Linked DNA regions of Caenorhabditis elegans. The protein of the gene in region 2 purifies or fractionates together with the protein of the main gene of each other region. This does not show direct contact. Each region holds a gene or a part of one and is shown on either strand. Other genes may lie near its edges. The genes, in order: sdn-1 and kal-1.

Region 1 (13,532 bases), on a different chromosome or scaffold from region 2:
TAATATTTCTACCTGATATAATCAAAAGCATTTTGTTTTTTCTCTGCGAGTCTATAAAATGTAACTGTTGGAATTTGAGTTGCTGCAATTGTGACGATACATGAAGAGCTGTCAGATTGTTCCTCAGATGAAACGGTTGCTGTCACATTCATAATAGTATTTTCGATTAATTTGTTAGTAGGGATCTTCAAAAAATCCTGAAACGTGTCAATCGCTCCAAGATTGCAGCTTTGCGTGTCATTTTTTTCTGAAAAATATAATTAAATAAAAGTTTAAGTAAATGAAAGTTACCATCAATGAGTTCACAGGTCCATTGGTATTTAAGACTAGAGTCCTTTCGATTTTGATCTACCGCCAATACTCGTATTGTGAGGTCGTGATCTTTCCCAATCTGACGTTCAGCACAATCCAAATTTACTAGAAGTGGTAAGCCAAAATACTGAAAATTAGACACAAACATTTTACTACAAAAGAAAACGTATAAGAGTGGGAAAGTTTGAAATGAAAACTGAACTTTTGTTATGGGCTCATTCACGTTTTAATGTCGAAATACAATTTATGGTGTAATAAACTGTATTACAGTGATTTTCGTGAAGAACCTTATTTTTGCCTTTCAATAAATGTCATGCAACTTTTTTTTAGCAACAGTAGTTGCAAGTTTAACAACATACATGTATGGTCTTTGTTGAACTTGAAGAGTACGGTTTTTCGTAACTGTATCTTGCTATCAGTGTAACATTAACCAGCTCATTCACAGAATATGAATAAGCCGGTAGTTTGAGCCCGTCATCATACATTTTGCCTTCCCCATTCAATTTCCACTCGTACTGAAAAAAATAATGTCATTTTTTAAAGCTTATGTATTGAAACACCTGAACATCTTTTGGGGACGTTTTGGAGCTGCATTGCTTAAAAGTAGGGTTTGCACGGAGACGAAGACCGAATGAAGCAGGGGTTTCTTGTTCAACGCCTAGAATAATTTGAGTTTACTCAACATTTTAAAAAGTATCAAGTACCATCAATAGAAACTGAAAACACTGATGCATCATCAACAAGTGCGGTATAGATTGGTCCACTTGAAGTGCATTTTTCCGCTACATTACACCCGGTGACCAGTATCACATTGTTTGTTGATAGCTTCAAAAATAAAATAAATCAAGTTTTATTTTTATATCTTACATGATGACTGGGGATTTCCAGAAGTCTTTCTGTTGCGGCTTTTGCAATGGTTTCCATATCCAAGGTACCTTAATTTATGAAGTTGATTGATATTACATTATAAAAAAATCCAACCATTCAAAATAGTCCACTGAAAACTCAAAGGCATGAAGCCGTTCCCTGAAATCTGTTTTACTTCGAACGTTGTTGAATTAGAACATGTAGCCACTTCTTTTTCATGGGAAACTGTAAAGTTTGGATACACCTGCAACTGTGCGCCTTTCAATTTTATTTGCCCTTCAATGAGAATTTACCGCATTTTTTGGACTTTTGAGAAATGCTGATCGAGGTGAGAATTTTGTTTTCACTTCTTGTAGTATGCCGATCTTTGGATTGGCACCAAATTTAATGGCGACATTTGCCCCATCTCCCAGACAAATAGGGTTTTCTGAATAATATGTACTTTATGAATGATTTGGTGGAAAAACTAGTTACCTCCGAGAATGGAAGAGTTTTCCATCAAAACCTCACAATTCATAATGCCCATTGGAAATTCAATTGAATCATTAACCTTTTGAATGTTTATACCAAGTAAATCATCAGACAACTCGGCAGTAAAATCTTCAACTTTATCAATGTGAATTTCCAAATTGCTGTATTAAAAAATAGTTATAATTTTTAATATAAGTTAGTTGTACCTGTTGTTGACATTTGGGCAGAATCTAACCAACAATGTTGGGATAGGCAACACGAGGCATTCCTAAATTGAAGAATTAAAAAATATATTTGATCTTTGTCAATCTCACACTAGAGCAAGGTGATGAAGAAAAATAGGACATTCCTCGTATACTTGCCCTACTGGTATCATCCCAAACAAACGGAATAATTGAAATCCCACTTTTTGAACAGTTTATGGAAGCGGAGCCATTAACAGAAAAAAAGAAATTGTAGTTGGGTGGTACTACCAAAAACTGAAAATGCCACTGTTAGAAAGAATTGAGGTATTAAAAGACGATTTAAAATTATTTTTTATAAATGTAGTTTAATAATTCAACCGATCAATGTTGTTACTGGAACTTTCTACTATAATAAATCCGCAAATTTGATGGGGATCTAAACTCATCATTGATAATAGTCCTAAGATTCTAAATTCAATTTATCCAGGATATTTGATACAACACGCTCTTGTATATTTCTGCTTTATCATATGACGCATCAACTTGGCTTTAAAAAGTTATCTAAATATTGGGCTCTGAAAAAGTAATCACTATTCCAATGGAAATAATTTTACTAAACTATTATCGTTTCTTCATTGTTGTTGTGTAAAACAGCACAAAAATGTGTTTACTATAAGTATTGTGACCGATGGATTAGCATCGACACGTGCATAATTGATTTGAACTATTATAATGTTTATTCTATTGTTGATGTTTTTACTATAACAATAAGCATGTACTTTACCTAAAAAACCTAACATGTATAAACCTGTGGCAGATATAACATGTGTTTCACATTTTTCCATATAACATAACTTTTTAATTATAACGTTCCTGGCACTGTTGTATTGATTCCCTGCATTTTCAAAAATTTTCAATTTTTTGTTTATTATTACATTCAAATTAAACGTGATATATTTAGGTTTTGTAATGTTATTTTCAAAGCCTGAAAATTCAAAAATTATCCTTACGTTTTCATTCAAAAATTTACTTCTAAAAGTGCCGGTCTCTGATACACCAGTAAGGTTTTTTTTAATGTCAAAGTCGAATATATTGGTTGCTCCCCCGACTATCAAGTGTAAGGCACTTAAATACAGAATCAATTTTCTCACTACCAATACACCTTCAATTTCACACCCTTTGCATAATCGAAATAAAAGACAAGAGCAGTTGGTCTTTCACAAGGTCTTTGACGCATTTTGAACATACACACACGGCGACACGAAACGCGCCATTACATTACAACCATATGGTTCCTATTCCCATCTTTCAATACGTTTTTTTTTCGTTTTTTGTTCTCATATATTTTATATGGTTCTATGTGGTAACAAGAAGACCATTCGGAGACACCTTCAAAATGAAGATGAATGAGACATGACCAATACTTACCCGTTTTGCGTCATCAGCATAATTTTGAATGTCGACGCAATGAACTGTCGCATTAGGAAACGGATTGTCATATCCATCTGGATCGTCTATTTCAATTGGATGCTCACTTGTCTCATCAGGAGCTATTTTCCATTGAACGTCAGTGCGTGTGCCTGCGTTGACCACCTGAATGCAAATTGAATTGCGTGTTCGTCAATTATTCAGAATTTTCGAAAAGGAAGCTAACCAATGCGGCAAGTGTCCAACTATGATTGAATGCCAAATGACTTAGAAGCTCACTGAGCACAACACGAGTTGATGTTGTTCCTGCGTTGTCTTTTAGAGTTGGCACATTATCGCTGGTTAGTTGAACAGTGTCCACAAATTCAAAATAAGCTTTTTCAAACCGAATACAGCTTGTTCCAGATGAATAGCATTGATTGAGAATCTTACATTCGCAGAATCCAAGAATTAGGAACAGTAATAACAAATACTTCAATAGGCGCTCTTCTATCATTCAGAAAAATTACATGGCAACCGAAGCCAAAAAAGAAAGCTCGAAAAGTATTAGTGCACGAGGCAAAAAAGTTTTACGTATTCTGATTGAAAAAACGCGCAGCTTTATTTTGTCTCTATGGAAACCCGTTATTTTCAATTTAAGGCTTCGTTTCCTTCTTCTTGTTATTTCATTGTCCATGTGAGATTTCTCATGATCATTTTTCTTTCGTTATTTGTTTATTTATATTGTTTTGGAACATTAATGTAATATTTTTATATTTATAAATTTGAATACATAAAATATGTGAGCATCTCAAATTGTTACAGAAGATGTTATTGGAAAGAAAAAGGTAAACGGATAAAACAAGAAAAAGTACAAATTTCAAGAGGCAAGTTTTGAAACAAAAAACTCTAGCAGATAAGTGCCATCAGAAACCAGAGAAACCGCGTGAGAGTGTTGAGGGATTTTGGAAATTAGGTGGAAATTTCTAGAATAGGATAATATGAGCACATTATAGTAACAAGGGAGTATAGTATAAATTGAGTCAAAGATACATGCATCCCTACCCCTAAGTGGGTCTACAAAAGATTATATTCAAATATTTGGCACCATGGAGTCAGATCAGTTTATATTATCAAATTATCACGAGTAGAACAGAGAGTAATGACCTTTACGAAAGGAAGGCGGGGGGGGGGAGGGTTTGAAAAAAATGGGAGTGGGAAAAAAACAAATTGAAAGGTATGGCAGATTGGAATGAAGTCTGAGAACAGAATCATAAAAATGATTTGAAAGGTGATTGAGTGATAGAAGATTTTGAACAAATGACAGTAGAGATTACGCGTAAAATTCTTTTGTCGATGCTTTGGTATAACCATACGAGGCATATGGTCTTGCTTGCTTGGGTTCATCCAATGCGTATGACCCTTCATCTTTTTTCCTGATTCGAAAGACTACAAAGAGCACGAGTAGAATGGCTGTAATCACCGCAACGAGAACACCTCCGGCAATAGCTGAAAATATCAAATTAAATCAAATTAAAATAGATAATTCTACAACTTTAAATCTTTTCGTTACTAAAAAATAAATAAGCTTTGTGCTTTATTCCAAACATATTTTTATGATCTCAACCCGTAAGGACAACATATAATATCAGTAATGCGATGCATGTAAGAAATATTGCATTGTCCTAAATTGAACTTTCTTGGTAGTGAATAATTTCAATAAGAGTTTAATTTTGTAACTAAGTGAAAAAAAATTTTAGTTTTCCTTTCCAACTCACTAAATCCTTTCAAAACCGTCATCTTCTCTCAAAACCTTTCATTCAAAAGGTTCCCCTTTTCCTCACAGACACTTCCTCCACTCAGTGTCATAAAATCAAATATGCACAAAATGCGACCCTTGACCTTGCCTTCCTTCTTTCTTCAGCGGCTTCCGTCCCACCATCCCGAACCTCAGGCCCTTTTTCTCAAGAGAATAGAGCTGGGGCTCCTTTGTTAGATGTGGGATGCTGCTCAGATTTTGATAACCACAAAAGAAGAAAGCATAGCAAGTTTTGAGAAGAGATGTCAACTTTACTGAACAATTCGTCTTTCCCCACATTTTGAGACACGCGTCATAAGGGGTCTATGTTTTCTTTAAAAACCCATTTCAAGGCATCTGTACTTCCTCACAAAAGGCAGTAAACACAAAAAAGTTTGTTCAAAGCAAGTGTTGTGGAAAGAAAAAAACTAAACATCTCTTCCTACATTTTTGCGCCAAAATAGAAAACTTGAGAAGTGTCTCGTTCAGTGGCACTCATATATAATTTGGACCCATCTTGATCCTCATCATCATCATCATCTCTCCGTTTTCAATAATATAATTTCTGGCGTGTCATTCACCAATACTTGTTGGTTTCTTTCAATAAGAAAGAAGAGCTCTCATCGTCTTCCCACCAGGAATAATTAGACACATGGGGGAAAGAAGAGTATGTGTGGTGGTGCATCATTCATACGAAGGGGTCCCCATTCTGTGACACAAGCACAAGAAGACGAAGAAGAGGCCACGCCATCTGTCATTAAGAAACAGCTCGACAACAAACTAGCACATCCTCGAGCTGTACACATTGATTGATAGACTGGTCGCGAAAAATGGACGGGATGAGTGTCCGGAATGCAAAAAGTATGCATACTTTTATGCAAGTCTCATATTTTTGTGTATATTTGCCCATCCGGAACAGACGGAACGGATAGGCTTGAGGCAGCATATTCCCCCGGAATACAGTGGCCGAATATATTGAATGCAACCGTGTTGCCTTCGATTGACGAGAAGACATCAATTTATCATCTCGCAACAAATCATTCGCCGACGCCATCACACTGACCGGGCGATTTATGTACATTTGCATCTGCTCCCACTAATGATAGTTACACTCCGGACGATCAAAGGTCCCAATGCAAAATTAATTGAAATGAGTTTTGCTTCACACATACCTGCATAGAAGCCATTTGCCAGTGTCTCATGGAATGGCGAGAATGGTCCAGATGAGATGGTTGATGTGACCATTGGTGGCTGCTGTCGAGGTGGATTTGTGGCTGCTGACCTTGGCGTTCTGGAAAATTGAAAATTAAATTGGCTGCTAGATGTTTTCGGGGATTTGTTGATTGACAAGATAATTAATACATTTCTAGATGCATAAATCCTGGGCCCTGGAGGGCATTAGAATAGTTTTGTTTTTTGTTCAAATGAAAAACATACGAGGTGGTAGCTACAACAATAGGTCGATACGTTGTTGTAGTAGTAGTTGTGAAGAAATCTTCATCATTATGAATATTCTCATCAGCAAAATCTTCTTCATCATCCTCATCATCTTCATCCTCATCTTCATCATCGTCCTCGTCCTCCTCGACCTTGATCTCCTTGTCGTTTGCCGCTGGCTTAGGCTTGGGCTGAACAGGAGGCTTGAAGCTCTGAAGAATGAAAGATTGCGGTAAAACACATCAAAAGAAAAAGCCGACACAAACCGCTGTAGTAGTAGGTACCGTTGTCGGCTTTGCAGTCACAACAGCATGGCTTGGAGATGTAACCTTGTCCGATTTTGTGGTAGCTGAAGATGGCGGCTTGCCTAAAAAAGGTTTTCAAATTTGTCTGTCACAGATTGAAAACTGCAAGCGGCGCACACAATTAAATTTGCATCTGGACTAACGCTTTTCTAACAGGATTTCTCACAGTTGTCAAGAACAATTCAAAATACCCACCTGACCCATGGACATCATCACCGTCTTCGTCGTCGGTTGGGTAGCCGGATCCATTGACTTCGATGTCTGCTAACCTGCCGGGAATGTTTGCACTTCCTTCGACCTGCTGCAAAAGTTTCAAATTATTCATATTGCCAATATTATTATTATATTATTTAAATAAATATTATTCGTTATTATTATTAATATTATTATTTATGTTACGCGCGCTCCATCGCCCATTATATCTGTTTGAATAATGCAAATATTTTGGTGCGCATTTGCCGCGCTTCAGATTCGAGCCTGCTTTGCGCAAACAAAAAGTGCGCTGGTGAATGAATTTCGTAGTATCGTATTGTAACATTATGATAAATTTATATAATAACTTACTTCAGATATTCCATTTTTCAAGCTTTTCGTAGAAATAGTTGACGAAGGGACCACTTTCGTTTTTGCTTGATTTGCGGCGAAAGCTTGTGTAGATAAGGATAGGAGAATGAGGACCGAGTAAGTCGACAGGCAGAAATTGAGTTTCAGAATCATATTGTCTTGTTGGTGTAATCACCTGACCGGCATCTCTTTGGAAACTCTCTTTACCCCTGAAAAAGCAATTGGTGTTGTGGTGGAGGAGGAAAAGGTTGAGTGGAACGGCAAAATGAAAACAGAGGAAATGGCGGTGTACGGCAAAAGGGTTCTAAAAGAAAAGGGGGTTATCGTAAATTTGGATTGGTAGTGGTACAATGACAGAATAGGGAATATAACAATTGGAGAATTGAAAGAGGTGGAGTAAAACGAGTAAAACGATACAAACGGTGAACCCGAGAAAAGACAAAATGGTATTTACAGCATTGGTGAGAAAAAGGAGAAAATGAAGAAAAATAAGAGTTTGAGATATTGATGAAGACAGCAAAAAGCTATAAAAACTATTCTCTCCTCGCCGTGTGTCTATCTGTGTATGTGTTGATTAAAAAACGAGAAAAAAGGAGAAAACAGACTGGGAAAGAAAGTATTACTCAACAGCAAGGAGAAGAAAGTAACGGGACGTTAGGGGTGACTGGTCAAGTAAGTCGAAAAGGGTAGCAGTAGAGGGTAAGCGGATAAATTAAAGAGAGCCGACGAAGAGGGTAAAGCCCTCCGCGAGTGGACCCTCCCGACCGCAGTGCGTAATGAGATGGGCAAGCAAGCCACGGGTGTCTTGTCTCTCTCCGACTCTCCCTATCTCGGCTTTTTCTTTTCTTGCCCTCAACAAATTTCGTGTCGAAACCTTTGCGTCCTGCCAGCCTAGATGACCCTCCATGAAATTAGAAGAAGCACTTCTGCGCCAGACAGAATGGAGCGTAGTGATGTTTGAGGATCATCATGGGAAAGGTAACATCTTCTCAGGATGCAGAAAAGGGAGAGAGAGTTATAGGATCGAAAGTGAAACAAAACAAAGGAAACGGAATCAGATAACACCCCGGGACGGGAGAGGGCAAGTTGCGCCTAGTATGCGCCTCCCAGATGATGACCTCGTTTAGGACTGCTTCCGTTTTATATATCCCTGGTCTCGTGATTATCACTGATTGTAAACATAGAAGGGCAACTTTTGAAACATATACAAACTTTCTTGCTGAAAATTTACTTTGTCGGAAAATAATGAAATTTAAATTTAACTGAATTGTGAATATCAAAAGTTTTAATTTTCAATAAACTTTTAAAACATATGTTCGTTGAGAATGTGGAACTTATAATTTGAATTTCGTCTAGAAACATTTGACCGTATAACAGAAATAAATAAACAAAGATTTAAATTAAACTAAGTAAAAAATGAACGTTTTGAACAAGTTAACCAATTTCTTTGTTCTCACTTTACTTTTGAAAAGCAATTACTGTTAATTCAACAATTCTAAAGTTGTTGTGCAAAAGCAGTAACGTAATAGAGAATAGTTTGTGAATGTATAGATGGTCAAAACAAATCTCTTATTCAAATACATTCCCCGGCTAAGAGAAAAACTCTTGAGACGAGACGAGAAGCTCTGAGAGCTCGTGTGAGTTACTGAACCTACTTCTTCAAATTACTATTGCCAAAAAGCTTGCCTCGAGGCAAAAAAAAACTCGGATCTTTCCTCTCTTTTCATCAAATAGGAAGGGGCCAACGAAATGAGAAAAGAGCAGTAAGGCGCGCACAAATTGCATTTGGTTTGGTGTTCGTAGCATCCGCATCACATACGCATACACCGAATTTCGCTTCTACTGCTCCGCATCCGAACAAATTTAAAAGGGTGTACGCCCTGCCGGCAACGGAAAGAGGCGGACTTGTGACACAGATGCCATATGAAACGCAGAAAGAGCAAAGTTATTCAGGGGCCACGATACCAGTTTTTGAGGGCGGATATGTGAATGAACGTAGGAATGCCCTCTTTCAATCACATCGGTTGGATCGGATCGATTGACGATAATTCACGCGGAAAATTGAGACGTGACAAGTTAATGCGGTAGTTGATGAGTAGAAGGAGAGTACTGAAGAAGAAATTGAATAGGAAAAGGTGAGAGGAAGAGACAGGTTATATCCGTTCATCAAGTTTTTATTGTGTCATTTAATTGGTTTTGAGTGATGTGGAAAAATTAAAAATTTTAGGGTTAATTTAGGGTTAAACTGTATTTTAGGGTTAAACTGTATTTTTTAATATTTATCTTGCATCCTTCTAGTCTTGCACTAATTCCTTGCGGACTTATTTTGAGGAGCATTTTAGGGAAAGCTTTATTTGTTCAGAGCAAAAACTAAAACGCGTTCAATACGTCATTGAACAGGTCAACAAGTATATCTTATTATGTAGGAGTACTGCAAGCAGATAGATTTTACAAATTATGAATAGGAAGTACAGTTTTTAGGTTTTCATTTTATTAGTAAGCGGAGTTCAAAATGTTTTTCTCGAATGAATAGAAATATAATAATGTACTAAAAAAGAAAGAAATGACAACCAAATCAGCTGGGGATTAAAAGTTTCCAATTCATAAAAAAAAAGTAGCACCGCTTTATAATTTTTTTTATGCCATGTTTTTTTTTCAAATTCAGGTTAGATATTTTGAGAGTATGTAATATAAAACTGACAAGTTGGCAATTTATTGTCAATTGATACTGATTGTTTCAGTTTAATTTCTGAAAGAAAATTTGGGAACGCAATTAAAAAAATTGAGAACTTTTCGGCTTTGTGTGTTCCGAATAGTTTATGTTACGTTTTAAATTATAAGGTGTAGTGTTGTTTGAAACAAAAGTTTTGTGGAGTGCCAAAAATTTAAAGGAGGTTTTGATAATTATTCAAATAACACCTAAAGCTACTATTTTATTCAAATTTCTTCCTTAAGTCTTCAACAAAAACAAAAAAAAACGATTATACAAATTCTAAACATGAAAAACGACATGTTTCGCCTGAACAGTACCTAAAAGCATCTGCTGCAAATTGAGGCAGATGGCAGTTTCCCCATCTGTTCTTTTCTTTTTGCTCTCCAAAAAATTCCAACGCAAATGCTACATAAACTTGAAATAAAGTGAATTCATCCTTCAAATGTGAGAAGCAAATTGAAAAATATATAGAGAAGATATAGATAAAACTGATCGATGGAAATTTGAAGAAAACGAAAAAAGTGTTTGGGTTTGCTCAGCAGAAGGAAGAAGAAATTTGATGTCTCTTTTTTGACTGGTGCCCGTTTTTTTTTTCGTTTTAATAGCGACAATTTGGTTATCTAGGATTTGACCAAAAACAGAAAGAAAAATGATTGAACCAGAGAATAGAAAAAGGAGAATAAAATAGAAAATCGCAATCTCCTTCGGACAGCACAAAAACGGAAACACGCGCAAGGGGCACCAGAGGAGGTAATAAACGGCCAAAAAAGGCAGAGCGGGATCACACTGCGGTTTCGAGGAAATAGAGAAAAGAGAAAAAAGACGTAGGGTACCCGAGACTCCCGCGATTGATGCGTTTGCGTGTGTATGTTTGGTGGTAGAGGGCGGTTGAAGGCGAAATGGTATGCAAATGCTTGGCCCTCGCCCCCCTGCGCGCACAACGACGACGTCAACATACACACATACACACGAAAATGCGCTACGTCGTCACCCGCATAAGCGTTCCGAAATTGGCAATGTGTACTTGAAATGGTTAACGGATTAATTGAAAGTTTTGGAAATCATTGAAATTAGTTGTTCAATTTATATTGAAGATTTAAAAAGAATTTTAATGACATATGTTCTGTCGTAAACAAAAAACATTTAAAGGGACTTTCGAGATTTGAAAGAAAGACGTATTTTGTCAAGATCAGTCAATATTTAAACTAAATTATAACATTTTGCTCACTCGTATTGCTGTTTTAAAGAAAAGGGAACTTTCAGTAGACAAGCTTTCAACCTTATCAATCTTAGTTCTTGAAATCTGAAACCAAGTTCAAATGAAACAAAAACCCGTCGTGAAAAAGTGAGAAAACAAATGGGAGAAGTGAGAAATCGCATCTTTTGTTCATATTGCTCTGAAGAAAAAATGAGAAAAAGGGAGACGAGTTTCTCATGAGTGTAAAGTCGTTGGCTTCAACAAGATGCTGATATCCCACTTGTTGCGGATGACATTTTGAAATTTTTTAAATTAAGGTAAGCATTTCGCAATTGATATCTATAATAGTCACTTGTAAAAGCGGCGCAAATTTCGCAAGAAGTGAGTTTGACGAAATGAAATATTCAAAATTCAGGAAAAAAAGTTGGGAAACGTGGGAGAGATAGGTGATAACTTAATGCGCGAAAACGCCCATTACAAGTAGTGAAAGTCAAATATCAGACAAATATTGTTTGGTGGTGAGGAGACAAATAGTCCCAACCCGAAGACGACGGCCCATCTGTTTTATTAGCATTACGACGAAGACGATCGATCCGAGTAGTGAGCACTCTCTCTCCTTCTTAGCCTCTCCCTTTCTTCAGCCTGCTAATTCATCTCTACCAAGTCTTTTGTGTCTGCGTCTCCAATTTCTTAGCACTGTCCGAATGGACTCGCGAGGACGGGTTGTCGGGGAGGGAGAAAAAGGTTACCGCAATAGGGTCCACTCACTGACCCTCTGCCTCCAATCTGACTCCGTTACGCGCGAAGAAAAGGGAGGACGGGTGATGAAGGAGTGCGTCCATTGGTTGAATTTTACGCTAATACATACAGTTACACACCTCTGAACGGGGTTGTTTGTTGAACAATAACATATAGCCTCAACATTTTTTGGGTTATCACTTATCACTAAAACAAATATGCAGAACGAAGTGCAACACTGTTGCCGCTGATAACACCAAAAACCAATGCAAAACGACAAGAGCTGATGCGCATAAATGTTTGAATATCGTACGTACTAGGACCTATAATGCTCCAAATACAGGATCTACCTTTTTTCCGCGATTTCAACGGTGATTCTATCAAGTTCAAGATTAACATTGACTAAGAAATTATTCTCAAGAAATCTTTGAATGTTATACTGTAAACTACGACTTACATACGTTTATGAATTTTCAAGATGTGAATATAGAGACGATGTTTCAAGATATCACAAATCATGGTTTGGTTATCAACAAAATAGTTTGCGTTACGCGCTATCAGGTGAAGCGCCACTGAACACTACCAACTAATGTTTCATGTTGCAAGGCTCAAACCTAAAATTTTTAAAGAGTGATAATGAAACTGCTAGTTTCAAAAAATGTGCAGTATTTGAAAATTAATGAAAATTTGTACGGAAAGTTTTTTATAAACTCATCCATAATACAGGGATTCAACTTTCACAATTTTCAAAAGCAAATAATTGAATTACAATAATGCTCAAAAATACAACTTTGGGGCGATCCCCAAAATTAAAAACACCAAGAAAATTATAAGAACACATGACGGAATGACCTCTGCTAGACACTGTGAGACATTGTAAGACAGAATGAGTTACGTTTCAAACAGATAAAATCTAGTGAGTACCCTTACCTCCACCTATCCACTTTTCTTCAACAACCCGAACACTTTTCGCAAAGTGTTTTTTTTATTTCAAAAAAAAATCATTGTTAAACAGATCGATCTAGTGGAAAGGCACTAGATACTCAAGTAAGCAAAATGGGTGTAACACAAAGAGCCGTTCGAACAGATTGTATCGAGTGGACGGAGGGAGATATATGGTTCGAATGACGACACAAAGTGGTATTCTCAGCTGGACACCTACCATCATCTCAGCTATTTCTTTGAATCCGGCCAAACGTCTCATGTATCATAGTGGCTGTCCAAACAGTGGCTGTTTTCATAATGAGTAGGAGAAAGAGTCTCGCTGCCCGGAAATTGATAGAGCCATTGATAAATACACACTTCAAATGTACTCAATTATAAATAGAAAATAGGAAATTGAAAATTTAATGAAAGGTGTTAGATTTGTATAAATCAGATGACGCTCAAAAGCCATAAAATGTATCAATACAAACGAGCGCCAAATCTTGCGATTTGATATAAGTTTTAAGAATGGAAATGTTTGAGAGTGGCATAAATTATTGCATTTACTTTCAATATTTTCCATATCTGAATAGTGAAACATTCTAATTTTGAA
Region 2 (12,022 bases):
AATTTTAGCCGAATCTACAGCTTTGTTTTTACATTTCTAACTAATTTTACGTCTAAAAACCCTACTCTTTCCTCTTAACTTTTACCGGTTTCCGTCTCACAAGAGACACCGCCAAATTTTACGACAACACATCACCGAAGAATTTTAACGATTACGGTAATTATCGCCATGCGCTGGGCTGGCTAAGCAAAGAGAGAGAGACACATCTGGTGTCATGTGTCATTAACCAATGCTTTATGGCTTTTTTGAGCGGCGGTGTTACGAGATTCTTGAAGTTGTTGCCATGTGCCGCCGCCGTGGCCATATGGATGCCGGAAATTTGGTAGGGCGGGCGCCAGAAATGGGAGCTCCGGTACCCCATAAATCACTTCAGAACCGGGGTTTTTTGGGAGCTCTAGAGCTTGAGCTCAAGGCCTAAGAGCAGACGTGTTTGCAATGTCATGAAACAATGTATCAAGTACATCCCCAGCACTTCATCATGTTCTTGAGAATGGGTCAAGGATGAGGTCATATGGCGTGTTGGTACTGATAGAATTGTAGTCTCTAGCCTATTTGGTCAAAACACCGTAAAAGCAAAAATGCACACAACTTACCGCTGAGCAGGTAGCGTCCTCTTTGCAAAGTTGGATGATGTGATGTTTGAGAGTCTTGCGGAGTTCCATGTTGTTCTGGAAAATTGAATTTTGAGAGAGTTTTTCAGATTTTGCAAAGTTTTTGGCCTAAAAATCGCATTTTCCAAGTTATTTTAGGCCTAGAAGTTGGTGCACAAATGTGAAAAACTGAGGTTTAGGCTTAGTCTTAGGCGTAGGCTTAGGCCAAAGCTTGGGGCCTTATGCCTAGGGCCTTGGGATTAAAACTTTAGGCTTAGGCTTAGGCTTGGGCTTAGGCTTGGGATTAAGCTTAGGCTGAGGCTTGGGCTTAGGTTAAGGGCCTTGGGATCAGAGTCTTAGGCTTAACTTCAAGAAAGTTTAGTGTTACAAAATGTAGTTTGTAGTTTTTGTAGCCGCTAACCAACTGACCAACAGACAGAAAATTCAATTTTTTGTAGATTTTCCAGTGTTTTCAGGTTCTGCTCAAATTTGAGGCAATGCAAGGTTCTCAGTCCGTAGAAAATTTGGACTTTCGGTTTGATCTACGTAGATCTACAAAAAAAATGAGGGAGAAGAGACGCAGAGTTCTCAACTGATTTTGCATGGTTTAGAACGTGCTGACGTCACATTTTTTGTGCAAAAAATTCCCGCATTTTTTGTAGATCAAGCCTGGCACCACGTGTATTTCCACTGTACACCATATCCCACATATCCCCTGAAATTCCAAAAGTCATAACTTTTATGTATATAGTGAAGAAGAACAGGAAGGTGGTGGTGTGCTAATTCAGGCGTGAACATTTGTTTTCGCGCACCTTCCGTCCATCTTCCGTTCATCATCATCTTCTTCTACTGTGTGCTATCCGGATTATTGTCCCCCCCTACTACCGTTGGTTCTACTACAAAAGTCTGAGAAGAAGACAGTAAGGCAAATGGTGCGGTACTAATGCATATAGAGGCTTAAGCCGTAATGGTATGTTGGTGGTGTTGACCTGGAGGCTTTGGGAAGTGAATTTGGAGTCCAAAAAGGCAGATTTTAAGCCCAAAAAGTGAATTTTCACTTCAGAAAGGCAAATTTGTAGTGTTAGACTGTTTGGACTTCGAAAATGTCAATTTAATGCTGAGGGAGTCGATTTTTACCTCATGACTTCCCCCATGAAAAAGTCTATTTTGACATTAAAAAGTTAGTTTTGACGTCAAAATATCAAAATTTTTACTTCAAAAGGTCAATTTTCACTCCGGAAAGCGAAATTTTTACTTTAAACTATTAATTTTGACCCCGTGCGGGTAAATTTTCACTCAAAACCTCAAAACGACCAATTTCTACCCAAGAAAGCCAATTTTTCACTCCAAAACCGTTGATTTGGGCCCTAAAACGTCAAATTTTCTGTTTTAAACTGCCAATTTTTACTCAGGAAAGCTAAATTGTTACTCCAAAACTTTAACTGTTGATTTTGACCCTAATAGGCTAAATTTTTACTCAAAATGGTCAATTTCTACCCAAGAAAGCCAATTTTTCACTCCAAAACCGTTGATTTGGGCCCTAAAACGTCAAATTTTTTGTTTTAAATTGCCAATTTTCCAAAAGCGAAATTTTTACCTTAAAATGTCCAAACTTTACAACTTTAAATTTCCGCTAACATGGTAAATTCCCACTACAGAAACCCAAATTTTCCCCTGAAAAAAGTAAAACAGACCCCCTCTAAAGTATCAAATATCTGTCGAAAAGTCGAAATCTCAAATGTTTTTTCTTTTTACCCCCAACCCCGCCGGCCATAAACCGTCTTCGTGTCGTGTTACCCATCTGGCACCATGAGAGACGTTGATGCATCGGTTCTCATGAATCTAATACCCGCCGTTTTTTGTTCGGTTGTTGGAGTTGGAGTAAGGAGAATGGATGAGGGTTTTCAGGGAAAATTGGGAACCCCAAAATCTGCAAAATAAGCAAAAGTACTCTGCAATGTAAATTGGCATCACTTTTTGCTCATTTAGATGTGTAAGATTTTGCGACTTTAAGCTCAAAAAATCGCAATTTTTAATGAATATCTATAGAAATTAGGGCACTTTGGATCATGTTAAGGAACATTTGAAGTCTGGAAATCGGTTGGAATGTAAATTGACATCACTTTTTGTCCGGTAAATTTTCACGACTTTGGCCTCTCATAATCGCAGTTTTGTACAAATTTAGTCGATTTTGCGGTGGTTTTCACGGTGTTCCAAGAAAAACCAAAACTTCCTATTATCCAGAGGACCCCCCACCTAATCCAAAAATCCATCCATCCATCCAGCAGCTGCGCGAGTCCTCAAAACAATACCCGCCTGAATTTTTCATGAACTTTTCCCGTTCCTTTTGGGAACAAATCGTGAGAGAATCGACACCACCTCTCTGATTTGGTGCTCAATATGAATTTGGAATGAGCCACCGTGAGCACATTAGCATATTGTATCTCAAGTGGGTTACGCCAGCACAGATCAAAGCGCTTCTAATGATTTGTTACGTGACGGGGGGTGGCGATAAGCAGCAGATTGCGTTAGATGGAGGCAGGGTCTGGGACAATTTATGACAATTCGGACGGTGGTTTGTTATAATTCGGGCGGTCCATTGTTCCTTTTACCCCAACAATAACACAAAAAACACTTGAACCGAGTGCAAATTAACCTGTAATTAGGCGAAGAGCACCTCTTTTTCTAATAGGCACGTATTGTTTTAGAAACGTTTAGAACTTTACCGCCTTTTTTGTGGTCTTCCGGTAAAAATGCCATGTATTGCACTTTACCGGTGCTTTCAGAATGTGGTACAAAACGTTTAAAAGATACTGGTACCCCACCCCACCCCCCCCCCCTTGACAAGGTACCCCTCTTTGCAAAACCCTGGCATCCCCCTCCCCCTCTCCTCTCTTGTCCCCCTGATACCCCCTGGTCCCCCTGATACCCCCGGTCCCCCCTGATACCCCCTAGCCTCCCTGATGCCCCCTAGTCTCCCTGATACCCCCTAGTCTCCCTGATACCCCCTAGTCCCCCTGATACCCCCGGGTCCCCCTGATACCCCCCCCCCCCCCTGGTCCCCCTGATACTTCCTGGTCCCCCTGATGCCCCCTGGCAAAACTAGACCTAGAACTCATCCCCCCTGCCCGTATCCTCACATATGTTCCGCTGGCCAATTTATTAGGGAAATTTTTAATTTCCCATCGTCTATAAAACATTTATCCATCCCCGCCAGATTCCGTTAAATTTACACTAAATCCACATAGTATCCGAGTCAATTCATTTATGACCCCCCCCCCCCCTCTTGGCGCCAAACCTTCGTGGCGCCGGGGAGGGTAAGATTGATGAACTAGAAGGGTGCTTACGATAATGATCTAGCAAGAAAGGTTACAATAACCAAATGGGAACACGAGGAGTGGTAACAGGTGAATGACAAATTGTGACAGGGTGACAAGAGGGCGAGGGGTAACATTTTAAAAAGGAAAAATTGGCAAATCAACTAGGTACCATACCTATGGGAACTTAGATGTCAGAGTGAAAAGATACCTCATATTTAAGAGCCTTGCTATGTATGGATACTGCTGTGAGTTTAGGACCCTTCACAGCCTGAACTCCTCCGCGCATAGGGTCTAAACCGATATAGGCTCTTAGAAGACCCTAAGGTGCACCAGCCAAAAAAGCCTTACCATGCCGAGTCCTAGTGATCTCAGGATCCATGATCTCAGGGAGCACGTATTTCTTCAACCAAATGGTCTAAGCTAATTTAGGCCTTCAGTAGACCTCTATCAAGCTCATGGTTTTTTTTGCAAAGCCTCCCTGGTCTCCTACAAGCTTAGAGGCCAATCTAGATTTTTAGAACACCCATTTCAAGCCGACCGTCCAGCTTTGACCCTAACCAAACTAGGGCCAACCTAGACTCCCTAGACCCCCAAAGTCACTAGATTTCTGCTCCCCAGGACCTTCAATTCGTACTTTTTTCTCTTCTTTTTCATGTCTTTTCTTCTCTCCACCAAACCCCTAATTATTGAGAAGGTCCCCCCACAAACTACTAACTAACTTTTTTCGTTAGCAAAGCATAGTAGTAAAGTCACTCTCTTTTTGACCTCCGACAGCGCGTGTCATTGTCACTGATTGATGATGTTCGTTAGAGCAAAAAAGAGGAAAGGAGCCGCCAAACTAACATATACCTGACCTCACACCAGCAGAGCTTCCCCCTTTTCCAATATCTTTGCCTTAATCCGAACCTTCTATATGAATATATATTCATTATTATAATTATTACCCCACCACATTCCTTTTCAAGAGATTTCAAAATGAAAAGTAGTAGTAGTAGTGTTGAGAAAGAGATTGGAATCTAAATCCGAATGAAGACGCGGAGGGGTCTCTCCATAAAACTAATTGCCGTCGAGTTTGTGATGCGTGACAATTTCTTGGCCCTGATGCGCGCAGTAAATCATGAACAGCGGTTGTCAGTAAGAGAAGCGAGTAGGTTGTAAATTGCGCGCGGTACGGTGGTCTTGAAACTGATACGGTGGGGTACGGTAAAAATTGGCTAAAGTAAAAAATTGGTTCCCACTGGGCTAAATTATGCTTAAATTGAAACTGATGTCACCTGATTTTTAGGAATTTTTAAAGAATTTTTGGAACTGAAGTATCTTAAAAATGCTTTAAATTGGTCTAAAATTATCAAAATTTGCAGAAAAGGAACAGAAAATCTAGCTTGAAAACTCTTGAAATTTTTCACACCTCATAAAAAGTCATGGACAAGGTCGAAAAATGGTTCAAAATTCTGAAAATTGGGAGAAAAACAGCCTGAAGGCTCTCAAAAGCGGAGAAAATTAGCTTAAAGCATGTGGAATTAACCGAAATCAGCTATCAAAAATCAATCAGAAAAATCAGCTTAAAGTAGCTCGAACCTACCCAAACACTGTCAAAATCTGTTCAGATCACCCAAAAAATCTAGAAAAATCTCAAAATTTGGATAAAATATGTGTAAATTAGCCCAACAAATTAGCTGAAAACACGGAGAAATTGCTCTAAAAACATTAAATTTTCAAAAAAATCACTAAAATCTGTGTAGAATCACTTAGACACCCTGAACAGTCGGTTGCACCATGTTAACCCTTGCCGAGTTTTGACCAAAAATGGTGCAAAATGTCACAAAAAAGCCTGCGATTTCCCTCAAAATCCATCATCAAAATCCCCTAAAAGCTCAAAATTTGGACAAAATAGGTAAAAGTTAGCCTAAACATTTTCAAAATCGGTGAAAATTCACTCTAAAACTGCTAAAACAGTCCTAAACTCGTTACACTGTATAGAAGTACTGAGGAGCCCTTTATGGCCGGTTGCACCATGATAAAACAGATAAAACTCGTCGAATTTTGGCTAAAACTGATGCGAAATTTTTCTAAAAACCCCCCAAATTTCCGGAAATTTGTCCCAAAAACTCCAAAATTCCCTCCCAAGGCCAAATCAATGCACTCTTGAGTGCACTTGGCCGACCTCGGACCTCCTTATTCGAACAAAAGTTTGTGTGTGTGTGTGTGTGTGGACAATGTGTGAATATGACAATAGGGAAGAGTTCACACCGGAAGAGGGGTCTATTCATAACATTCCGAGAGACCTCCTAGGGGTTATTAAGTGGGTCCAGCTACCAAGTTTTATGACTCTTCCCCCCTACCCCTCACCCTATCCCCCCTTAGTAAGAGTCAACAAAAACAACACATTAATTTAGTTTTAGAGCCCAATTCCCCCCCGCGCAGCTGCTCTTTACTTTTATCGTTTACAACATCTAGAAACAACAATGAGTAGTATATGTGACACCTGTAGGGGAGGAGGTCAGGTATCCATCCCCCCATCAGCTGGCAGGAAGTGGTCCCTGCTATTACCCCCACCCCCCTCCATTAGATTTTATCTAGAAGAAACAATGTTTCTTTTTTGAATACCCAATACCTCCATCTTGATAGCACGTTACGCAAGTCACTTTTAATGTTTTCATATACAAAGAGGTACCGCTTAATGTACTAAAATTGCGTAAGGTGTATCGATGGACTCGTATAAGTTGGCGGGCTAGGTTTTTGAATGGTCTTGGCTGGAAAAAGCAAAAATAGATGATTTACAAATTTGAATTTCCCGCCAGCAACTGTATTACTGTAGAAAATGTGAAAAAAGTTTTGGCGGAGATTCAAATTTGTCAAAAAACATATTTTTGGCTTGATTTTCAAATTTTTTTAAAAAAATGTTTGGCGGGAATTTCAAATTTTCATTGAAAATCTAATTTTGGCGGGAATTTCAATTTTTTGAGAAAAACCAATTTTTTGGCGGGAAATTCAATTTTTCTGAGAAGCTACATGTTCGGCCAAAAGTTCAAATTTTCTGAGGAAAATCAAATTTGGCGGGAAATTCAAAATTTCAAAGAAAATAGTTTTGGCGGGAAATTTAAATTTTCTGTGAAAAAAAATTTGGCGGGAAATTCAAAATTTCTGAGAAGAACTGTTTTGGCAGGAAATTCAACATTTCCTCAGAAAACAAATTTTTAGCGGTAGATTCGAATTTTCTAAGAAACTATATTTTCAAGCGAGAAATTCAAAATTTCAGAGTAATTTTTTTGGCGGGAAATTTGAATTTTCTGACAAATTATATACTCAGAAAATTGCTCCCAAAAGCTGAAATCCCCTTCAAACTCCCCCAGAAAAAAAAATCCGAATTTCCCGCCAAATCCCGAAAATTCGCCAAATCAATTCTATTTGTACACCCATAAATTACACTGTACAGTATCTTGCTTGTAAATCTCCCAAAACTTTCTTTGGGGGAGGTCTACCCTTATCAACATCTCCTACCACCGGAATTCGCCCTTGATTGACATGTTTGTTCTTCTACATGTCGTCGTATATTTAGGCGGGGGGGGGGGGGGGGGTATCCACTTGAAAACCGAGAAAAGGAGCCGCTATGTGTGTGTGTGTCGGTATTTGGAGAGCATGAAACAATGACAATATGCCTAGGTCACAGGTACTAGAGCCAAGTGGTTATGGATATAAGGACTCTTTCCTAGATTGTGACATGGTGCATCGATTTTTGCTCAATTTTTCCCATAAATTAGCCAACAATTTCCAAAAACTCACTTGTAGCCTCTGATCCATCAAGTGAAGGCATTGAGCCTGACATCGAGTCGAAATTAGCTCGTCCGGGCTCACGGAGCCCAATATGAATAGGAGCAGCAGTAGAATCATGTGCTGTAAGAGTAAAAATGTGCAAAAAAAAAAAAGAAAAAAAGAAGTTAAAAGAGTTAACGAGCCCAATTTGCATATTTTATGAACTGGCGAAGGGGGAGAAGAAGATAAATGTAGCTTTTTAGGGGGTAAAAATGCAGTTTTTGAGTTAAAAATTGAAGAAAAATGAGGAAAAGTACAGCAAAAAGCTCAAAACTGCTGAGAAATCCGATAAAAACTATGTAAAAAAGGAAAAAAGCACATGGTGCATCGACTAACAAATTTATCGATGCACCATGATTTTTTCTCGAGTTTTCTCGAATTTTTCGTGATTTTTAAGCTTTCCCTGTTGTTCTCTAAGTTTCTAACATCTTTTTCCGTTTTTTAAATTAAAAAATAACACAAAAAATACCAAAAAATGCTCAAAAACCTTACAAAAATATGTTAGAAACTCAGGGCAATGCTCACGGTGCATCGATCAATTTTGAAAATCTACGAAAAAAACCTTCAAAACTAAGAAAAACTCAGAAAAAAGCTCATGATGCATCGAAAAATTAAGGAAATCTACAAAAAAAAACCTTTAAAACTACGAAAATTCAAAAAAAAAGAAGTTATGGTGCATTGAGAAAAAGAAAAAGGCTTTTCAGAAAAAGGCTTCAAAACTACAAAAAAAATCAGAAAATCCAGAAAAAAGCACATGGTGCATCGACTGATCCAGTGGAACCGCCAAAAATTCAGAAAAAAAACCCCACGAAAACCCAAAATTGTACAAAATGACCGTAGAACCCGGAAAAATTCGCCCCAAAATCTAATAAAATATTATGACAAACGACAAATAACAATAGGGGGCCTCTAAATGATACACGCGTTCCCAAACAAACATATTAAATTCATTGCCCAGGGAGGAGGTACGGGGGGTGAGGAATGACAAGAAATGGGAGGGGCATGGAGACAAAAGAACCGCCCATCCGTTCTCAGAGACGCAGGGAGGAAAAGGATGGGGGAAGGAAGAGGGGAAGAGTCTGATTTGGTGAGGGAGCTCAGGGTGATAGGAAAAAGAGTATATTATCGAAAAAATACGATCGCACAAATTTCTCATAATTTATTTTTGATCTACCTCTGTTGAACTTGACTCCGCCCCCAATCTTGTTTCCGTTGTTAATTTGTTGTGGCTGTCTTGTAGAAGGTAGGGGAGGAGCCTAATCAACAAGGTAGATCAAAAATAAATTATGAGAAAATTGTGCGATCGTATTTTTTCGATAATAATTTGAAAAATGGTCTGAAAATCTGTTTAAAACCAAAACCACAGAGAAATACAGAACACTCATGGTGCATCGACAAATTCTAGGAATTTGAGGAAAAACTTTCAAAACTACGAAAAATTGCAAAAACCCCGGCCAAAAGCTCATGGTGCATCGATAAATTGGGGGAATTTGCGGGAAAAAAACCTCCAAAACTATTATACGAAAAATTTTTTAAAAATCGAGAAGAACGCTCATGGTGCATCGACAGGTTTGAAAAATGTATAGAAGAAGGCTTTAAATATACAAAAAATGCAATAAATCTAGAATAAAACACATGGTGCATCAATAAATTTTAAGAATTTGCGGGAAAAAAACGTTCCAAACTATGAAATAATTCAAAGACCCCGGAAAAAAGCTTATGGTGCATCGAAAAAAATCTACTAAATTATCTGAAAATTTAAAGCTTATGGTGCATTGATTAACACGGTGAATTTCAGAATAATTTATCGAAAAATCAAGAAAAAGCCCTGAAACTTGCCCAAAAATCTTCACAAAATCATGGTGCATCGACCAAAAAAAAAGGCTGAAAATCACGGTTTGATCTACAAAAAATGCGGGAATTTTTCGCCCAAAAAAATGTGATGTTAGCATTTCTTTTTGTTCTTAATCATGCGAAATCAGTTGAGAAGTCTGCCCTATTTCTCCCCCATTTTTTGTAGATCTACGTAGATCAAGCCGAAATGACCCACATATGGTGCATCGACAAATTCTCGGAATTTAGGAAAAGACATTCAAAACCACAAAAAAATTCTGAAAATTCAAGTGAAAGCTCATGGTGCATCAAGTAACTCAGCGGATTCGCTAAAAAAATCTCTTGAAGTCTGCTAAACTAGCTATAAATTAGCCTATTTTGATTAATTTTAAGGTAGAAAAAACGCTGAAAATTTGCTCAAAAGCCAGAAAATGAAGCTTTTTTTCTCCCGAAAACTTAAACTTTCGCTCAAATTTCTTAGAAAATTCTATTTTTTTAGAGGTACTTTGCCTGGTTTAGTTTGAAATTTCAATTTTATTTTACCAGCTTATCTATAGTAATGCTAATGTTTGAAGGTAAATAATGAAGTTATGTGCACACATTTTCAAAATATAGCCTCCCTTAGGACTTAATTAGTGAGAATCTTGATAAATACATATATAAGTTCAGGAATCTATAATAAGTATTTCAGTCCAGAGTCATCGGAAAGGAGCTCTTTACAAAAAAGCAAACGGCTCCAGAAAAAGAAAAGCTCCACAAACAAACAAGAGAAGAGTAAAATAAAAAAAAGAAAGGAAGAAGAAAGAAACCAATTGTGTGTCAAACGTCCCATTTCTTCAGGCAATTCGAGTATTCCGGGGGACAGAGGAAACAACAAACAATCACCAATTTTTGGTGGCTGGGACTAAAAAGGCAAGGGAAAGGGGAGGGAATGTTCCTTTAAACAGCTTCCTAATAAATTTTACCGTGTTTGAATAAACTACAAACTACAAAATTTATAGATCTTCTGACATTAAAGCTCACTATCAGAAGTATAAAGCATACACCAATAAACTGAGGTTTCTTATAAGGATCTGTATTGAATCTAGACCCCCCCCCCCCTAAACAGGGCTAGGCCACTTCAATGTATCCTAGTAGAGGATTAGTCCTCTCCAGAGTGTTAAGTGTCTTGTTGCAGGTATTACGTAATCTTTTTGTGGTGAGCATTATTATGCAACCCCCATAAAATTGGGATTAAAACGGATGAAATATAGATGAGCAGCGGAGGGAAAATGCCTGGGGGTAGTGTTTTTGGAACCCGGACTAGTACAGATGTTTGGGGGTCCGAAAGACAAAATGTTGCCAGGAATTTTGAAAAAAATTGTAAAATTCAGCTTAGGGTAAGGTGATGTACGATAAAACCGTATCTGCCTACCAGAGGAGTAGGAGCGCGAACATGGTGCATCGAACGGGCTTATCTTTGACAGCTCACAAATCGGGAACTTTTGGAGTTATTAAGAAGTTGTCAACTAACAAAATATTTGATATTACCTGTTTTATAGTTTTTAATTTATTTTATACTGATATCTTTAAAATGGATCAAGATACAGGTCGTTAAGTTGGGCTACTCATAAGTTGGGCTAATCGACAGGGCCAATATATCTCGTTTTGAATTAGTGATATCAAAAAGGTATTCACTAAAAAAATATTTTTTATTCTATTTTCTATAAAATGTATTTTACTTTACATTAATATCTTCAATACGAAGCGAGTTATGAGCTGCCAAAGTAAGAGGAGGCATGGTACATCGACCGGGCTCAGCTATGGCTTCTTCTAATTCTGCTATTTTCGGTGATATCGAAAAGTTGTCAACTTAAAAAATACTTTAAATCATTTGTTCTATAAAATGAAATTTATTTCATGCTGCTATCTTGAAAATCGATCGTTCAATTGGGTTACTCATGGTGCATCAACCGGGCTTATCTTTAACGCCTCATATCTCGGCGTGTATTTGTGCTATCAAAAAGTTGTCAATTTATAAAATATTTGTTACACCATTTTCTATAATATGTATTTTATTTTACATAAATATCATCAACACGAACCAAGTTATAAGCTGTCAAATTAAGGGGAGACATGATGCATCGACAAACTTTTTTTTGAAAAAGTTGTTATCCTTTTTGTTCTTTTTCTTTTTTTTGTCCTCTTCCCACATACCAAAAGCGTGAAAGGTGACTGGGCGGGGGAAGGGTGCATAACTAATAAGAGCCACTTTTTACCCTTTGCTTATGTCATTTTTTCTTTCTCGACAGAAAAAGAGAGAGGTAGAGACGCAGACACTCTTCCATACACGTAACACACAATTGAGCCATTTATCTATGAATGCTCCCCTCCTTTGTCTCCGGGTATTCTTATTAATTTATTGGTCGAGAATAAGAGAGAGAGAGAGAGAGAGAGAGAGAGAGAGAGAGAGGACAATGACCGTAG

What was found.
Region 1: the proteins of kal-1 (region 2) and sdn-1 purify together in Caenorhabditis elegans (affinity purification with western blotting, with the first as the bait; one study listed by BioGRID). This does not show direct contact.

The regions. Positions count from the first base shown.
Region 1 is NC_003284.9:10,585,780-10,599,311, forward strand, and holds sdn-1 (putative syndecan), read right to left. Parts: upstream 7,556-13,532; 5' UTR 7,500-7,555; coding exon 7,347-7,499; intron 7,084-7,346; coding exon 6,978-7,083; intron 6,845-6,977; coding exon 6,744-6,844; intron 6,690-6,743; coding exon 6,478-6,689; intron 6,332-6,477; coding exon 6,213-6,331; intron 5,808-6,212; exon of another isoform or gene 5,668-5,807; intron 5,594-5,667; exon of another isoform or gene 5,373-5,593; intron 4,752-5,372; coding exon 4,576-4,751; 3' UTR 3,991-4,575; downstream 1-3,990. Other genes in the region: F57C7.4 (PKD/REJ-like domain-containing protein), read right to left, coding at 13-247, 292-439, 672-827, 873-970, 1,017-1,137, 1,180-1,247, 1,294-1,423, 1,473-1,606 and 5 more. UniProt on the Caenorhabditis elegans protein: Cell surface proteoglycan that bears heparan sulfate.
Region 2 is NC_003279.8:14,134,404-14,146,425, forward strand, and holds the start of kal-1 (WAP-type 'four-disulfide core), read right to left. Parts: upstream 7,805-12,022; 5' UTR 7,802-7,804; coding exon 7,694-7,801; intron 669-7,693; coding exon 594-668; intron 1-593.